4 linked regions of the Canis lupus familiaris genome follow. The protein of the gene in region 2 purifies or fractionates together with the protein of the main gene of each other region. This does not show direct contact. Links are inferred from orthologs where the notes say so. Each region holds a gene or a part of one and is shown on either strand. Other genes may lie near its edges.

Evidence for each region.
Region 1: the proteins of PAK1 (region 2) and NCK1 purify together in Homo sapiens (affinity purification with western blotting; 8 studies listed by BioGRID and IntAct, with this or other methods). This does not show direct contact. The link is inferred for Canis lupus familiaris from reciprocal best matches to the Homo sapiens genes PAK1 and NCK1.
Region 3: the proteins of PAK1 (region 2) and GIT1 purify together in Homo sapiens (affinity purification with mass spectrometry; 6 studies listed by BioGRID and IntAct, with this or other methods). This does not show direct contact. The link is inferred for Canis lupus familiaris from reciprocal best matches to the Homo sapiens genes PAK1 and GIT1.
Region 4: the proteins of PAK1 (region 2) and GIT2 purify together in Homo sapiens (affinity purification with mass spectrometry; 5 studies listed by BioGRID and IntAct, with this or other methods). This does not show direct contact. The link is inferred for Canis lupus familiaris from reciprocal best matches to the Homo sapiens genes PAK1 and GIT2.

The regions. Positions count from the first base shown.
Region 1 is NC_049244.1:33,892,860-33,897,150, reverse strand, and holds the end of NCK1 (cytoplasmic protein NCK1), read right to left. Parts: intron 2,422-4,291; coding exon 2,227-2,421; 3' UTR 558-2,226; downstream 1-557. UniProt on the Homo sapiens protein: Adapter protein which associates with tyrosine-phosphorylated growth factor receptors, such as KDR and PDGFRB, or their cellular substrates. Maintains low levels of EIF2S1 phosphorylation by promoting its dephosphorylation by PP1.
Region 2 is NC_049242.1:21,495,623-21,499,185, forward strand, and holds part of PAK1 (serine/threonine-protein kinase PAK 1), read left to right. Parts: intron 1-521; coding exon 522-696; intron 697-2,961; coding exon 2,962-3,025; intron 3,026-3,563. UniProt on the Homo sapiens protein: Protein kinase involved in intracellular signaling pathways downstream of integrins and receptor-type kinases that plays an important role in cytoskeleton dynamics, in cell adhesion, migration, proliferation, apoptosis, mitosis, and in vesicle-mediated transport processes.
Region 3 is NC_049230.1:43,661,678-43,665,888, forward strand, and holds the start of GIT1 (ARF GTPase-activating protein GIT1), read right to left. Parts: upstream 2,862-4,211; 5' UTR 2,817-2,861; coding exon 2,765-2,816; coding exon of another isoform or gene 2,601-2,764; exon of another isoform or gene 2,279-2,600; intron 1,912-2,278; exon of another isoform or gene 1,834-1,911; coding exon of another isoform or gene 1,782-1,833; intron 1-1,781. Other genes in the region: uncharacterized protein LOC119876655, read left to right, coding at 2,601-2,791, 3,386-3,644. UniProt on the Homo sapiens protein: GTPase-activating protein for ADP ribosylation factor family members, including ARF1.
Region 4 is NC_049247.1:17,528,886-17,532,448, reverse strand, and holds part of GIT2 (ARF GTPase-activating protein GIT2), read right to left. Parts: intron 3,110-3,563; coding exon 3,004-3,109; intron 1,097-3,003; coding exon 1,010-1,096; intron 893-1,009; coding exon 762-892; intron 1-761. UniProt on the Homo sapiens protein: GTPase-activating protein for ADP ribosylation factor family members, including ARF1.

The sequences.
Region 1 (4,291 bases), on a different chromosome or scaffold from region 2:
ACGGAATAGGTTTTCTCTTGTGTGATTTAACAAATGGAAGAGTTCTACAGCCTGGTTTGCCTGCCTCACCTCCTGGATGCTGTTCAAGCTTTGTTTTGTTGAACAATCAGATACCCAAGTCTTTTGCCTTGTGGAAGATGAGTATATGCAGTGCTTGTTATATGCAGGTGCAGGTCATGTGGCCTATCTGGGAACTCTCTAGTTATTATAAATCTAATTATGTCAGAGAATGTGCAATCTACTTCCAGTCTTCTCCATTCCTAGCTGCTTTCTTAAAATCCTTAACATAAGTTCAGTGGGGTTTGCTATAAATATAGCTCATGTGATACATGATTAATGCATCAATTACATTGTGATTACAAAGTATTAATTGCTTCTTTTTTTTTTTTAAGAAATATCTTTTTAAAAAGAAGACTGGGGGGAAAAACAAAAAATGGAGAAAAAGAAAGCATCATCAGCTGTTTAAAATCAAATAAAAAGGTGTTTACTACCTAATCATATTTATAACACTTTGAAACTATTTTCTTCAACTTATATTCAAGTGATTTTACAGCAAAAACAGGTAAGCACATGACTTTTATTTCTATTACAATTGTCTACTAATAATCATCTCAATAAACAAAGAGAGACTGACAAAGATAATGAAATATGAACTAAAAGGCTTTAAAAGTAGATGTGGTGAAAATAAAAAATTGTACATCAATGCTTTAATTGTATTTGCTGACTCCTATTGCTTAGTGGGAGAAGCCAGGGCTGCCACCCAGTGGCAATGTAAGTCTTCAAATGATTTTAAGAGTTAAAGAATAAAAATTACTTAAAATAATTAAAAAAAATAATCCAAAAACCTCAGGAATTAGACAATTTCAATTTTAACATCAGTAATTTTGGTGTATTAAATACTTATCTATAACACATTAAAGAATAGAAACATTCATTTGCTTAGGCCGCACTGGGGAAATTTTTAAAAATACCATAAGATTTCCTAATACTGAAAGTAATTTTGCTTAAATTTAAATTCCAGAACAAATTATGTCGGAGAGGATAGCTAAGACCACAAAATACAGCTGTTTTCTTCTGTGACCTGCAGAAGTAGATTCAATACTCTATAGTAGCCTCTCATTCATACACCCAAGCTTCTGTTTAGTAAACAAAAACAATAGAAACTCTCCAAAAGTAAGATTTCAAAAATAACCTTCTCTAACCATTTGGCACATCCCATCTTTTCCTCAGGTATGATCAATTTTAGTGTCTCAGTCAACAAAACTCAAAGCTGAAAGGAGGAAAAGAAAATAGCAGAAATACTATACCTAATACTGATAGACATGTTTGGGGAGGGGAGACAAGTATCTCACTGCCTCCTACTTCCCCAACATTTGGCTGCAGCTTTTTTCACACTGACACAGATACAACATGCCCCAATACAAGATGCTTTGTCAAAATAACACTAGGGGAAAAAAAAAAACATAACACTAGGGCATCCATTTATAGTTTAAAAAGCTAAATATCTCAGAGACTGCTTTATTCTCTTAAATAACCAGGTAAGAAGCAACCCCACAAAAAAGTCCTAGAAGTTTAGATTTTTGTTTCCAACAGTTGCAAATTAAAAGTGTACAAGATACGTTTTCAAACCTATGTCCCATTTGTTTTGCTTTACAATGAAGACAATGAATATTTTTTAAAAATGGCAGACACAACATACTTGATATTTACAATGGCTTGCAACAAATACCTGAAAATAATTTCTAATTATCCATTTATTATTGCTATTTAGTCACAGAAAAGAACATTGTCCAAGAAATTTATTTTAGCATATGCCATATACTGATATAATAATTTTATATGAAGAGAAACCATTGCAGAAGTGACCTAAATATGGTGCCCTTACAAGGAAATAAAGAAAAAAACCAATAAATTCTTCCATGTAAAGACTTTCGATCTGCATCATCTTTAGAAAATATAAAACCTTAATATTAGAAGCAAAGAGAAAAACAGACAAGAAACAATAAAACAGAAGACCAAGGATAAGGAACTGCTTTATGCAGATGCTTTGCATATGTAGTATATATGTATGGGCTGAGTTATAATAAAAATACTTATGTATCACACTCAATTCTCATGTAGAGTCAGAAATCAATTTCCAATCAAATATGATTGGATTGACATTTTCTCAGTCTTCAATTACATGATGAGTTATAGCTTTATAGCAGTCACTTCTGGTCAGCATTATCATGACAAATGCTTGATAAGATACAGTTTTTCTCCTTGTTCACTTGTAAAAATTGGTGCCTTTTTGTAATGTTCTACAAGTTCTTCCATGGTGCTGAATTTACGCTGCCCAATGCAGTAGACAGTCTCTTTTAGTTGGACTTTAAAATGCTTGTTTTTCCCTTGTGCTTTTAGTGATACAGAGAAATCATTTGGCTAAAAGAGAAAAAAATACATAGGGTAAACATTTTGAAAGATATCTATTAGCATTTTTATATTACACTAATAATAATAAAGTGCTCAAATCTTAGCTAAGTACTAGGCACTATGCTATTTACATAGATTATCTCCTTTACACCTCTAACCAACCCTTTTTAGAGATGACAAAATCAAGGCCAAGAAAAGCTAAGTTGCTCAAAATCATCCATGTAGTTAACAAGACAGCCAGGATGCAAACCCAAGCAGCCAGACTCCAAAGTCTCTTAAATAATATGCTCTAACACCCATGGCAAATCCTTTAGTTTAACATCTGAAGCACAAGAGCTATCTTCTCTCCTTCAGACAACTGGAGAAACACATGAGAAAACATGAGTTAATGTGAGCTAACAGTAGCTATCTCATAGACTAGCTCAGATATTCGGCTGAATTCTTAAAGACAATAGACACTAATGAGAGGTCATAAACTCAAATGCCTACAAGGGTCAAAAGACATATAAACAAATGACAGGGTGGACAGAGAGAAGGAACAGTGCATGGCCAATTTAAAGAAAGTGGCCACTTAGTGGTGATTGTTGTCTTGTAGAAATACAGGCAAGGTTGGCAGGCCTTCCAATTTTATTTTTATTTATTTATTTAAAAAAAAGATTTATTTATTCATTCATTCATTCATTCATTCAGGGGGAGGGAGGGAGGGGGGGGGAGAGAGATAGTAGAGACACAGGCAGAGGGAGAAGCAGGCTCCATGCAGGAAGCCTGACACGGGACTGGATCCCGGGTCTCCAGGATCACACCCCGTGCTGCAGGCGGCGCTAAACCGCTGCACCCCGGGGCTGCCCAGGTCTTCCAATTTTAAAAGGAAGTCTGTCACCTGACTTTTTATAGTAAATTTCCCAATATTTAAATACTGGTAACAAATTCAAATGTTTAAAAAACATTGTTCATGTCAAACAAAATATCCTGTTTGAAATCTTTACTTTAAAAATTCTAGGGATGCTTGGGTGGCTCAGTGGTTGAGCATCCCTTCAGCTCAGGGCCTGATCCTGGGGTCTCAGGACTGAGTCCTGCATTGGGCTCCCCGCAGGGAGCCTGTTTCTCCTTCTGCCAATGTCTGCCATTCTCTGTTTCTCATGAATAAATAAAATCTTAAAAAAAAAAATCCTACTGCTAAAAATGATGGTGCATGTTGGCTAATATCCATGCTCAATTACCCACCAAGAAAACAGTGTTTTGTAACCAAGCTACTTTCTTACTTTTTGTTGTTTTTTTTAACCTAAACACTTTTCTGAACAGTCTAAAAGTTTTATATAGTTACTGACAAAGTTTCAAATAGTGGGCTTCTTGGAAACATCCTATACCTATGGTTACTCTTATCACCTGCTCTAAGGTCACTCATTTCCTAATGCTTCTTGCTCACTGCTTGTCCTAGAAAGATAGATCAAGTCAGGCATCTAACAGAAAACAAATCCCACCACTGTTCCCTATCATTGATCCTGCTCTTCCTGAGGGGTTATGTACAGGCCTCATTTCCTGAACTTCATATCAAGCAGTTCAATTACCTCTCTTTTCTTCCCTCCCTTTTATAAACATATACACGCTATACGCAAGTGCACATACACACACCAGATAAGTTTTCTTCTGACTTTAAATCTTTTCTACAATCACACATTCACATTTATAGAACTACATACACAGAAACAAAGCCAATACTAATGATCTGAAAACTGGAAAAGTAGTGGTATCCTTTTAAAAGGAAAAATAAAGACCAGTTAAATGAATAGGACCAAATTCTAATATTCTAAACAGTAATCAAAAGAGCCTACATAACTATTATTCCATTTTTATGGTTTCATAGTTTTACTAATATTAG
Region 2 (3,563 bases):
ATCCTGGAGACCCGGGATCGAATCCCACGTCAGGCTCTTGGTGCGTGGAGCCTGCTTCTCCCTCTGCCTGTGTGTCTGCCTCTCTCTCTCTCTGTGACTATCATAAATAAATAAAAATGTTTAAAAAAAAAAAAATTCTCACTAAACTAGGAACTTCTCAAAAACAGAGGAAATATATATGTATTAATAATGCTTAACATAGTTCTGGGCAGGTGTCAGAAAGGCAGTAAATAATGAACAAATGAATTAATAAATTTGATCTTCATAGCACTCCTTTCTAAAAAGACATTGTTAATTCCTAATTTGTGTTGTGTATAGTGAGAACAAGGAAGGCCATTTCACCCACATGGGATAGGCCTGGGCACAGAGGGGAGGAACATAGATTTTGACCTAGGAGGAGAGATGAGTTTATTGGGATTTGCTCTGCTGTGGGTGTTCTAATACACCTCTATAAGAGGCTCCTGAGTGTTTTCTGTGCTAACAAAGACTGTCTTTACCAAATTCTTTTACCAACAATACAGGTATATACACGGTCTGTGATTGAACCACTTCCTGTTACTCCAACTCGGGATGCGGCTACATCTCCTATTTCACCTACTGAGAATAATACTACTCCACCAGATGCTCTGACTCGGAATACTGAGAAGCAGAAGAAGAAGCCCAAAATGTCTGATGAGGAGATCTTGGAGAAATTACGTAAGCACTTTGTAGCTGTCTGAACTTGCGTTTTGTGTGTGACTGAATGAGCACAAAGATGGAAAAACATTGCTAAAAGGATCCTAGTCCTAGACTTGGTCTATGTGGCTGGCTGGCTATGCTCGATATCTTAGCCACATAAGGTAGGCTTCTCACCTTGCCCCTGCACCTACCTCCTCTGTCTCAGCAACCCTGATTGGATATTGTGTTAGGATAGAAATGTGAGGGGAGTGTGGACAGCTCACTTCGAGCTAGGCATCTCTCAACCGTAGGCATCGGTTATGGAGATGAAAAGTAGCTTTTATCTAATGGAATAGTGTGGAATGTTGTGTTGAGAAAGACTGAGGCCTTACCCATACCTGGTAGGAAAGATTGCTGTGATTATTGATGCTTGCCATTGACTTAGGAGAAGACTGCTCTGCCATCTTGGTTGTAGGAAAAGAGGGAAGGAAAACTAACATTTTGTGAGCCTATCTAGGTACCAAATGACAAGCAAGGTGTTTTCTTGATTTTTTTTTTTTTTTGGTTCCTTTATTCCTCATATTAACCCTGTGAAGACAGACATTATAATCCTCATTTTTTGCAGTTTAATGTATTTGAGGCTCAGGGATGCTAAATACCCTACCCAAGACAGTGACAGGGCTGGGGTCAGAGACCAAGTTATGCTGTTGTAATTAGAGCATGCTGCCTCTTGCTTTCAAGTGGAAACTTCCATTTTATTTTCTTTAGTGGCCAGAAATGGGGTATGTATATTAGAGTAGGTTGTTTCTGTGTTTCAGTAAATTGCAAGAGAATTCATACTAGAAGGAAGGACTAGATTGACCTTTGGGCTTAGAAAAATCATCTGATGCAGCCTTTAATTTATCCTTTGTACCTGTTTACTTCTAAAGAGGATTTGATGTGACTAATTTGGCCAAATCCACAAACTAGCGCTCCTCTCTAAAGCCTAGGTTTCTGATTCTTTAGCTTAGCAGCTCTCAATGTCTTCCTGATAATTCTTGTTTGACTTTTATTTTTTTTTAAAGATTTTATTTATTTATTCATGAGAGAGAGAGAGAGAGAGAAAGGCAGAGACACAGGCAGAGGAAGAAGCAGGCTCCATGCCCAGAGCCCAATGTGGGACTCGATCCCGAGTCTCCAGGATCACACCCCAGGCTGAAGGTGGCGCTAAACCGCTAAGCCACTGGGGCTGCCCGACTTTTTTTTTTAATTTCACTCTTTTACAAGTTGCCCTTGCCCAGAGCCCTTACGAAATGATGAAGCAAGAAAAGCCACTTACCTAGCCATCTGTTTATTCCTATATATAGTGTTTTTATCTGAACCAGATTTATTTTAAAGCAGTCATACTTAGAACATAAAATTGTGAAAAGCAGACTGGCATGAGAGGTAAGGGCACTTGGGTTAAAGCCCCAGTCCAGCCACTGACATGGGTCTTGGGCAATTTCCTACTGTTCTCTGGGCTTCCTTTTTTTCATCTTTTAAAGAGGGATGTTAATACCTTTCTTATTTATAATCATATGAGATAGTATATGTGAAAAGTATCAAATCTTAGTAATTAGTGTTAGGGAGGACACACTGGACTGGGAGACCAAAAACCAAGCTCCTAATCTTATAAGGCCCTGACACCAGTTTGCTGTGTGACCTTTGGGGTGGGGGGGATTATGTTCCCTTCTGTGGGCCTCAGTTTCACCATCTCTAGAGTACAAGTTGTGAAACCTAACCTCTCTCACACCTCTATGCCTTTGCACTTGAATTACTGCCTACTGTAACCCCTTCTCAACTTTCCTTGGCTAACTCCTACTTACCCTATAAAAATCGTCCAGAATCACTTCCTTTCTGAAGCCTCTCTAGTCGGGAAAGGCTCTTTCTGTATTACAACAATTGTATTTTCATGGAACTTTAAGCTTAATTTTCTGTCTCCTCCCTGAGATTGAGCTTCTTGAGAGCAGGGACTGTTTTAACTATGTCTCATCTATCCCTTTATTCTTAGTATTCAACATTGGGCTTGGTACATGATATGTGAGCATATTAAGTGAGTGTTTATTGAATGAATGAATTTAAAAATACAGTCAATAAAAGCAGTAAGGAGATGAAACTTTTGGTTGCAACTTAAAACTAAAAGCTAAGGACCTGCTTAGCGTGGCTTTGGGAATTGGAGGTAGTTCTTTAATCCTTGTCAGCTGCAGGGTTTGGGGGAATATTGGGCCTGTTTTGTATCTTGATCTGGGAAAAAAAAATGATTCATGGTCTCTGTTTCTTTCAAAGGGAGCATAGTGAGTGTGGGCGATCCTAAGAAGAAATATACACGGTTTGAGAAGATTGGACAAGGGTTAGTAGGGGCATTTTCTTTCCCTAGGGAAATTACTTAAAAATTGGGTATGCTGGTGTATATGATTTTGCTTTTGTTTTGCCTCTCATAAACTTCGTTCTTTCTCTACCTCATCTCTCACCCATCTGGAGGTGTTATGTTAGGCTGACTTCAGGTTTGGCAAAATTATGCTTAGTATGAGAGACGTGCCATTAGCTGACCATGTTGCTAAAAATAACCCTTCAGTGAGAGTGCAAAAAGCATTTATCTTCTTAGCACAAAACCTGCTTCCCAAATTACAGCTCTGCTTTTTCAGATTAACCCTTTTTACCTGGCACTGAGACCTACCAGCACTAATGTGAAATGGAAGACTCAGAACTGCAGACCCCTTCTGCTAATGTAATGGGACCTGTCATTCTAGGTGCATGCCAGGATTCATGTCTCCTGCTCTCTGATTTCTTCTCTGTATCTTGCATGCTGCCCTCAGTGTACTGAACTCACCAGATCTTAACTGAGTTCCTGTTTATGTGCTAGGCACTATGAATACAGCTATGGATCT
Region 3 (4,211 bases), on a different chromosome or scaffold from region 2:
CCATAGGTTTCAGACTGTCAAATCCAGTGGAGAAAGGAGAACTACCTTGCTGATTCTGTCCTATGTCCCTTTGGCTGAGAATGAGAACCACAGACTTGAAGATGGGATGGTCTTCAAAAACCATTTCTACTCCCAATTTCTTTGCTTCACAATTGAGAAAACTGAGGAAGAGCCCTGCCATGGGTCACAGAGTAAGCTGACAGAAGCACCCTCCCCCCAGTCCTTCTGGACCTTCCACCCTCACCCCTATGCTATGCCCGCCTTGCAGAGGTTTACACAACAGTCTGGGACACCCACAGAAGGCAAGCTCTCCTCCTCTTGGCCCTTCCATCCTCAGACCTGCATGCGGCTAGAAGAAGATCACCGTTTCCAGCTCATTAGGATAAGGATATGTAAGCCCAGATAGCTTCTTGAAGGCCCTCTAGATCATGACACGCCCTGAGAGAAGTCCCAGGGTCGCAACCACCCACGGAGTACCATGCCTCTGCCAGGCATCCACAGTCACCAAACACTTGAGCTTGGAGCCATCGGAACCACTGGAGTATCTGTGGTTCTCAACCTGTTGGGGTCTTAGGCCTGTCCTAAGGGTGGCTCAAAGTTATGGGTGCATGGAACAGCACCTCACACTCTCATGTTTAATTATGCCCACAGTCCCCCTGGAATTCAGAGACACCCTGAGCCTGCCCAGAGGTCTCCTAGGGAGTTAGCTTCTTTATTTTAAGGAGAGGATGGACAAAAGCCACGGCTTCCTTCCCCAGGCCAACTGCTGAGCCCCATCACTGGCACGGTCCTCCCACATCAGAAGGTAGCAGCCACTCAGGTCACCACTCCTCACTTCCTCAGCTGGTCAGGGGGGTTTCACATCAGCCTGGACCTGACTGTGCCGGGGAGAAGGAAAACACCAGGGTAAATACAGCCAGGAGGCTGGCCAGGAAGCCAGCGATATCCTGGGTACTACTGCTCCTTCCCCACTTCTGGCCAGACTGGGCTACACAGGGCTAGGAGGGGTCTGTGCCCAAGCTGGGACAATGCTAAGCCCACCTGACGGGGTTAAGCAGACCTTACTGGGGCATAAGAATAGCTGAGTCTAGTGGCTCCCAGGCACCAGGCAGCCTGGGGATGCCTGAGAGAAAGATGCCCAGGCTGTACTGGCCCTCAACACCAGGCCCTGCAAGTAGCCCCGGCCTTGGGAACCAGGGGCAGGCAGTCCTCGGAGTAGCTACCGCCTCTCCACCCCCCCCCCGCCCCCATCTGCTCCCAAAGAAACACTACCCCAGCCTCCCCTGGCCCATCTGCCCAGCTTTCTGCCCCTTGACCTCCGCCACCTCAGCGGGCGCCCAGACCATGCGAGCAGCAGGTGCAAGACGCGGGGGTGGCACCGAGCTGACACGAAACCCCACTCGCCCCCACCTCCTGAACCTTGCGGGCCTCCGCCACAGCCCTCCTGCCACCCCAGGCTGGCGCTTCCGTCGGGAGGTAGAGATGGGGGCGGGGGGCAGCCAGCCGCCTGCCTCCCTCAGACTCCGGGGTGGCGCCGGCAATGTCCTTCCCCGCCCGTCCGCGGACGCGAGGGCACCGGGGCCCCCCAGCCGGCCCTCCCGCCAAGGACGCGGCTCCGCAGTGGCCCGGGCGGGGGCCGAGGCCGCAGCCCCCAGCCCCGCGCCCCGCCCTCCGGCCCCGCACGGCGCTCTCGCCAGGCCCGGCGCCCGCCCGGCGGCCTCGCAGCGCGGTCGCGGTCGCAGTCGCGGTCGCGGTCCCGCCCCCGGCCCGGCCTTGCTCACCCGGGGCGCTGCAGTCCGCACACACCTCCGCCCGCGGCCCCTTCCGGGACATCCTCAGCGGCGACGCGGCCGCAGCCCTCTGGGCCAGCGTGGGGGGCGCGGGCGGCGGGCCCGGGCGGCGGCTGCCTCTGCTGCCCGGCCCGGCTCCGGCAAGGCCCCGGCTAGGCTCCGCGCGCCCGGCCAACCGTCCGCCCCCGGGGCTGGCCCGGAACCCGCCGTGCCCGCCTGCCCGCTCGCCCTCCGGCGCCCTCCGCCCCGCGCCGCCCCGCGCCGCCCTGCCGCCGCTCGCTCTCTCCGCCCCCTGCGCGGCTCCGGGCCGCTCCTGCAGGAAGCGGCGCAGGCCCTGCCCACCGGGGGAGGGGCAGCCCGCAACCCGCCCCGCCGCCGGGCCCTGCGGGCCGCGCCTCCCGGAGAAAGGAAGCCGGGAGCGCGGGCGGGAGGGGGCGGGGGTGCTTAAAGGGGCCGCGGCCGCCGCGCTGCAGGCCCTAGAGGGCAGCGTCGCCTGCGCGCCGGGCCTCGCCTCCCTCGCTCTCCGGCCCCGCGGCTGTGTGAGTTCCCCGCGCAGCCCTCTCCTCTTCGCTTTCCAGGTGGAGGGTAGCCCGAGGGGCTCAGGCCCGGGGACGGTGACCCTTGGGGGACCCGGGAAGAGAGGAAGGAGCTAGAGGCCCAGGCCCCCTTCCTCGTCAGAGCGCTGTGGTTTGGGGTGCCCGCCTCTGTGTGGCTGAGGCGAGGTGTGCGACCTGGCCCCCCATATATCCACATCTGTGTGTCCAGGTGTGTGTGGTCACACCCTTGCTGCTTACGCACAAAGCCAACAATATGGACGCCCAGGTGTACCCCTGCCTCCCAGCTAAAAATACATCTATACCTCATCCATGCTGCCGTCCCGAGAGGAAAGAATCTGGGCAGTTTTTAAAGGCCTCCCGAGGGGTGACCACTGTGCCTGTGGGCAGTAATATCCACTCTGCATTCGTCTTGTATACCTCCACGGTGTTTCTGGGCCACTGCAGGTTTGTGTGTCCAGGGCGTGTGCATATAACATACAGGGACCTTTTCTTATGGTGGCCTTTCTTCCTAGACTTCACACGGAGACGGCAATGGGGGGGGGGGGGGACAGGAAGCGGAGGCGCAGGCGGCACGTGGGTGCACCCCTGCACTGAGCATGCTCCCCCATACACGTGTGCCCCGCGTGCACCCAGCCCCCATCCCTGCAGCAGCAAAATGCCAGAGCGCTTTGCTTCTGGGGCCAGGGCCCGGGTGGCCAGGACCAGGCCTGGGGGCCAGGTCAGTGGTGACCGGAATTAAGGGAAGATTCCCAAGGGGCAGGGAGCCCTTCTCAGTAACAAGGGGGAGAAGGGGAGTCCTTGGGCAGGGGTTTGGGAGTTGGTCGATTTTATCCCAGCGGTGCCAGAACAGCAGTGGCTTGTGGGTGGGCAGGCTGCTTCCCTGGGGGAGACAAGTAATGCTCATGAGTCACACCACCCGAAATACAAGCAAAGCTGCCTCTATCGCCTTTTGCTGCAGCCCAGATTGACAAGTTTGTTTGAAATCGCGATCCACGGGGTATATTTATAATCGCACCTTTAAGAAAAATCTTTTTGCAGGCCTCTCCTCCCCCCACAGCCAGCCGCTCAGCTGGCGGGGCTTCTGCAAGCGAAGGTACCTCGCGGTGGGGGAGCACCACCTGCCGCACGGTGCCGCACCCACACCGAGAAGCCAGTCTGTGGGCTTGGTAGCCCCAGGCTGGACGACGTAATGGAGCGGCCTGGCCGCTCTTCCCGGCGCCCCCCACCCCCACCCCCAGGAGCGGTGGCCGCCCATTCACCCCCGATCGACCCACAGCTATGGAATTTCATTTATTAAATGTCGAGGCGGCTACTGGCAGCTCCATCGCTTGGCTGTCTTTGTTTCTCTGCTGTGTGGGCGCGTCTCGAGCACGTGGCAGCTGGAGGGCGCAGACCCGAGGAAAGGCGACCTGGGTTTGGTCTAGGGCCGCCTGGCAAAGAGACCCGGCTGCTAAGGGCATAGGTCCCCCAATCCTGGCCGAGCTCCCCGTCTCCCAGAACTCCCAACACTTTTCAGGGGAAGAATGATTCACCCCGTCGCCCCCTCCCGCCCGCCAGCTCTACCTCCGGGCTGGCCCGGGGACTACCTGGGAGTGGCCCAGGCAAGAAGCCACACTCTAAACTTTGTTCCGGAAGACCCCAGCCCCGCCACTGCGGAGCTTCTGGGCCCGAGACTAGGGATAAAAGGGTTCCAGGATCTCCCTCTGGAGACGTCTCCACCTCAGGAAGCAAGACAGTAGAAAAAGAAATATGAGACAAGGTTCTATAAACAATTTAATGAGGAAACAAACGTACAGGCATTCTTCTGGCCACTCCTAGCCGTCCCTCCCCCGCCCCAGCCCCTTCCCCAACTCCGGCTGCAGCC
Region 4 (3,563 bases), on a different chromosome or scaffold from region 2:
TAAGACCAGTTATCCATTTTGGCAATGAATTCCACATTATCTTGCCTCCTTTAACTCTTTCATGTATTTATGAATCATCTCCTCCATGAGATAATAAATTCTGGGAAGGCACAATTTTGGCATTTCACCCATTTTATCCTCTGCAGAACAGTAGAATGCTTTGCAGTTGATAAAAAATTAATTTGGAAAAAGAAAGATGAGCCATCTTCTACCATTTAAATGATATTCAAGGCTAACATGGATTTTTTTATTTTTCCAGCATTTCACAAAGTTTTTAAAACAAGAAGAAACTTAAGGAATTTTATTGCAAGCACCCAGACATCTGCTACCTAAAACCTATAATTAACATTTTACTATTACTTGTTTAATCGCCTACCTATCTATATAGCTCTGTTTTTTAAGTTCAAGCAATGACTAAACATATTAAGAAACTGAGGAGTGGGTTTTGCAATTCTTGATACTTGCTTTGGACTATGGCTCAAATACCATTGCATTAGAAGTCATTTGAAAGACTGGAAGCTAAGCACACTGGAAGCTAAGCACATTAGCTAAGCTAATGGTTCTATCTCCTCCAACTCTGCCAGGCTCTGAGCTCTTATGTATTTGAAATGCTTTCATCTGTAAAATAATGGGAGATGTATATCCTTAACTTAAAGGGGTTAAATGTTAATCATACACAATTTAGCCACCAACAATGAATAATACCCAACATAAATAATCCCTAACCAAAGATGCAGTGACAAGAAATCTAGGTCTCTCACCTTGCATAATCCACAGGAGTTTTTCCACTAGAATCCTGTGTGCCTGGGTCTGCTCCATATACTGCCAATAATTCTGCCTGTAAAATCTGCCCTGCTTTGGAGGCAACGTGGAGTGGGGTGTTTCCTTTTTCCTGAGAAATATTAATAAAAAGTAGATTAACAAGCAAATTAAATAAAACTAAAGGCTACAACAAACACAACCCACTTAGTTTCAATTTAGTATCTGAATCAATTCATGCTTTTCTCACAGGGTGAAAGAAGTTGGCTTGTGCTCCTAAAGATAACAGCCTCAAACAGGTTTCAAGATTCCCTGTTCTCACGCTTGAATGAAGTTGCTGAAAAACACACAAATCAAAAAAGTATTTGTTAAAAGTGTAAAGAATGGTATACTATAGCAGCTGGCAGATCATTTTAATATACATTATATTAGTGATAATCAGTTATTTAGCTCAGTAAGCCTCTCCCTTGCTGGTCACAACCACTCCAGAGCTCTAAGGTGGGGCCAGGTCCATTTTACTGATAAGGAAATAAGGATGGGAAGGCTGATTTGCCCAAATGCACAATCTAAGTGGTACAATCAGACCTGAAGTGAAAGGGGGTATGAGAAGATAGGTGAACACAGCTCTGAAGTCTCAAAGACCTGAAGTTAAAACCATATACCCTTCAAGTTGTGTGACCTTGTGGAAGTTCTTTAAACAATCTGAACCTTAGTTTTCTCAGCTCTAAAATGGTGAAAACAATGCCACTTATTCAAGGATTACTGTAAGGAGTCAATGATATAACAAAATGCTCAGCATGGAGCCTGGTATACAGGAAACACTCAAAGAATACAACTGCTGTTATTATAATCATTATTATTTGTTGTTGTTATTTAACCTAGGGCTTTAGGGCTGCGTACCCCATGCTGTAAACTACTGGATTCTGCTTTATAGCACACCCTCTTCATAACAACATTCTTGGCCTTGTATATAATACTTTAACAAAATCTTTCAGGCTGGGAAATAGGCCTGGTGTATACCAAATTCTGTACCACTGCAGAAAAGCTCTTAAACATGCAGAAGATTAGCTGCTTTTTTCAAGTCTAACCTAGAATTGTCTAAAATGCAATAACCCTTATTATAAAAATGCAGAAGTCTACTCCAGCATCTATATCCACACCTTATTTTTACAATTAATGTATTTAATATTCTTAAGTTGTGGTAAAAACCCCATGCCAAGCTTATTAACGGAAGTAACAGTTATATATGTTTTCTATGCAAAGTTTAAAATTCCTTTTTTTTTTTTTGCAAAGTTTAAAATTCTGATTGCAAGTGTCCAAGCTCTGTGCGAACATTTCCTAAAAGCAGTGCTTTGAAAATAAAAATGCATGTTTCTCATGGCATCTCTCAAAATCATGCAAAGGCCCACATAAAGAAAACCATCTACTCATTTTACAAGTATAATAAAGAATCATAAGCACTACAGCTTTCAGTCATCCTGCTTCCTGAAGATCCTACTCAGTATGCAACCCAGAAACCTAAAGAGGTCCCTCGAACTTTCTAGTCCCTTCTAGAAACAAACTCAAGGGATGGTTCCTATTTTAAAGTTAAATGAAAAACTTTTAGGGATACAATTTTAGGGGTGTCTGGGTGGCTCAGTTGGTTAAGCGTCTGTCTTCGGCTCAGGTCATGATCCCAGGGTCCTGGGATCAATTCAGTGGGGAGTCTGCTTCTCCCTCTCCCTCTCTCTCTGCCCCTCCACCTGCTCGTGCTCACCTTCCCTCTCTTTTTTAAAAAAGATTTTAATTATTTGAGATAAAGATTTTATTTATTTATTTGAGAGACAGAGAGATAGTGAAAGAGAGAACATGAGCAGTCGGGAGAGGGAGAAGCAGGTTCCCTGCGGGGTTCAATCAGAGGATCCTGGGGGCCATATCCTGAATTGAAGGTAGGTGCTCAACCAACTGAGCCACCCAGGTGCCTCAAGAAATATAATTTCAAAACCATTTCTGAAAAACATAAATAATTTTCTAGATACATACTTATTTTTCCTTGTACCTCCTTGTACCTCCACTAACATAGAATGGCTGCCATTTGAACTAAAATTAAAGATGTAACCAACTGCAAAAAAGGTTGTTATTAATTATTTAGAGTACAGAAAGTTTCTGTTTTGTTTTTCTTTTCTTCCTCTTTAAGTTTTTTTCAAACAAAACAATATATCATTTGATCCAGCAGTTTTAGGGATTTTAAAAAGTGTGACCCACCTTGCTAAGATCTTTGGCAGTCATACTGTCATCATCCCGGCAAGGCAAGCGATGGACAAATGCTAACATCTGATATTTGGCTCTGATGAATTCTGCTTTATTAGGACTGATTACCACCCAGAAAAAAAAGAAAGAAAGAAAGCTGCTTACTTGCAGTTCAGATGCAACATTTCCCATTCTTTAGGCCGTAAAAAGAAAAGGAAGTGACCCATATCCCCTACTAGAGAAGAAAATGAATGACACTGAAATAAGTTCCAGCAGGAGTTTAAGACCTGAAGTCTCAAAACATCAATTAGTCATTCTAAAGGCCAGGACTGCAGAATACTTGCTTTTTAGAGCTTCTCTCTTTGTAATTTTCTTAACTGACCTACAGCCTTGTGAGGAAGCAGCATTGTATCCCATCCTATAGGTGAGGCATCAGGCAGACCAGAGCCCAGAATGGAGATTTTTGGTCTGATTGCCTCTTGTTTGAGCACCTAAGCTTAAATCAGATTACATTAACAGTCTCTGAGCATTAGTGTCAAACTGGAGAAGCCACTGACTTGTGCTGTACAACCATG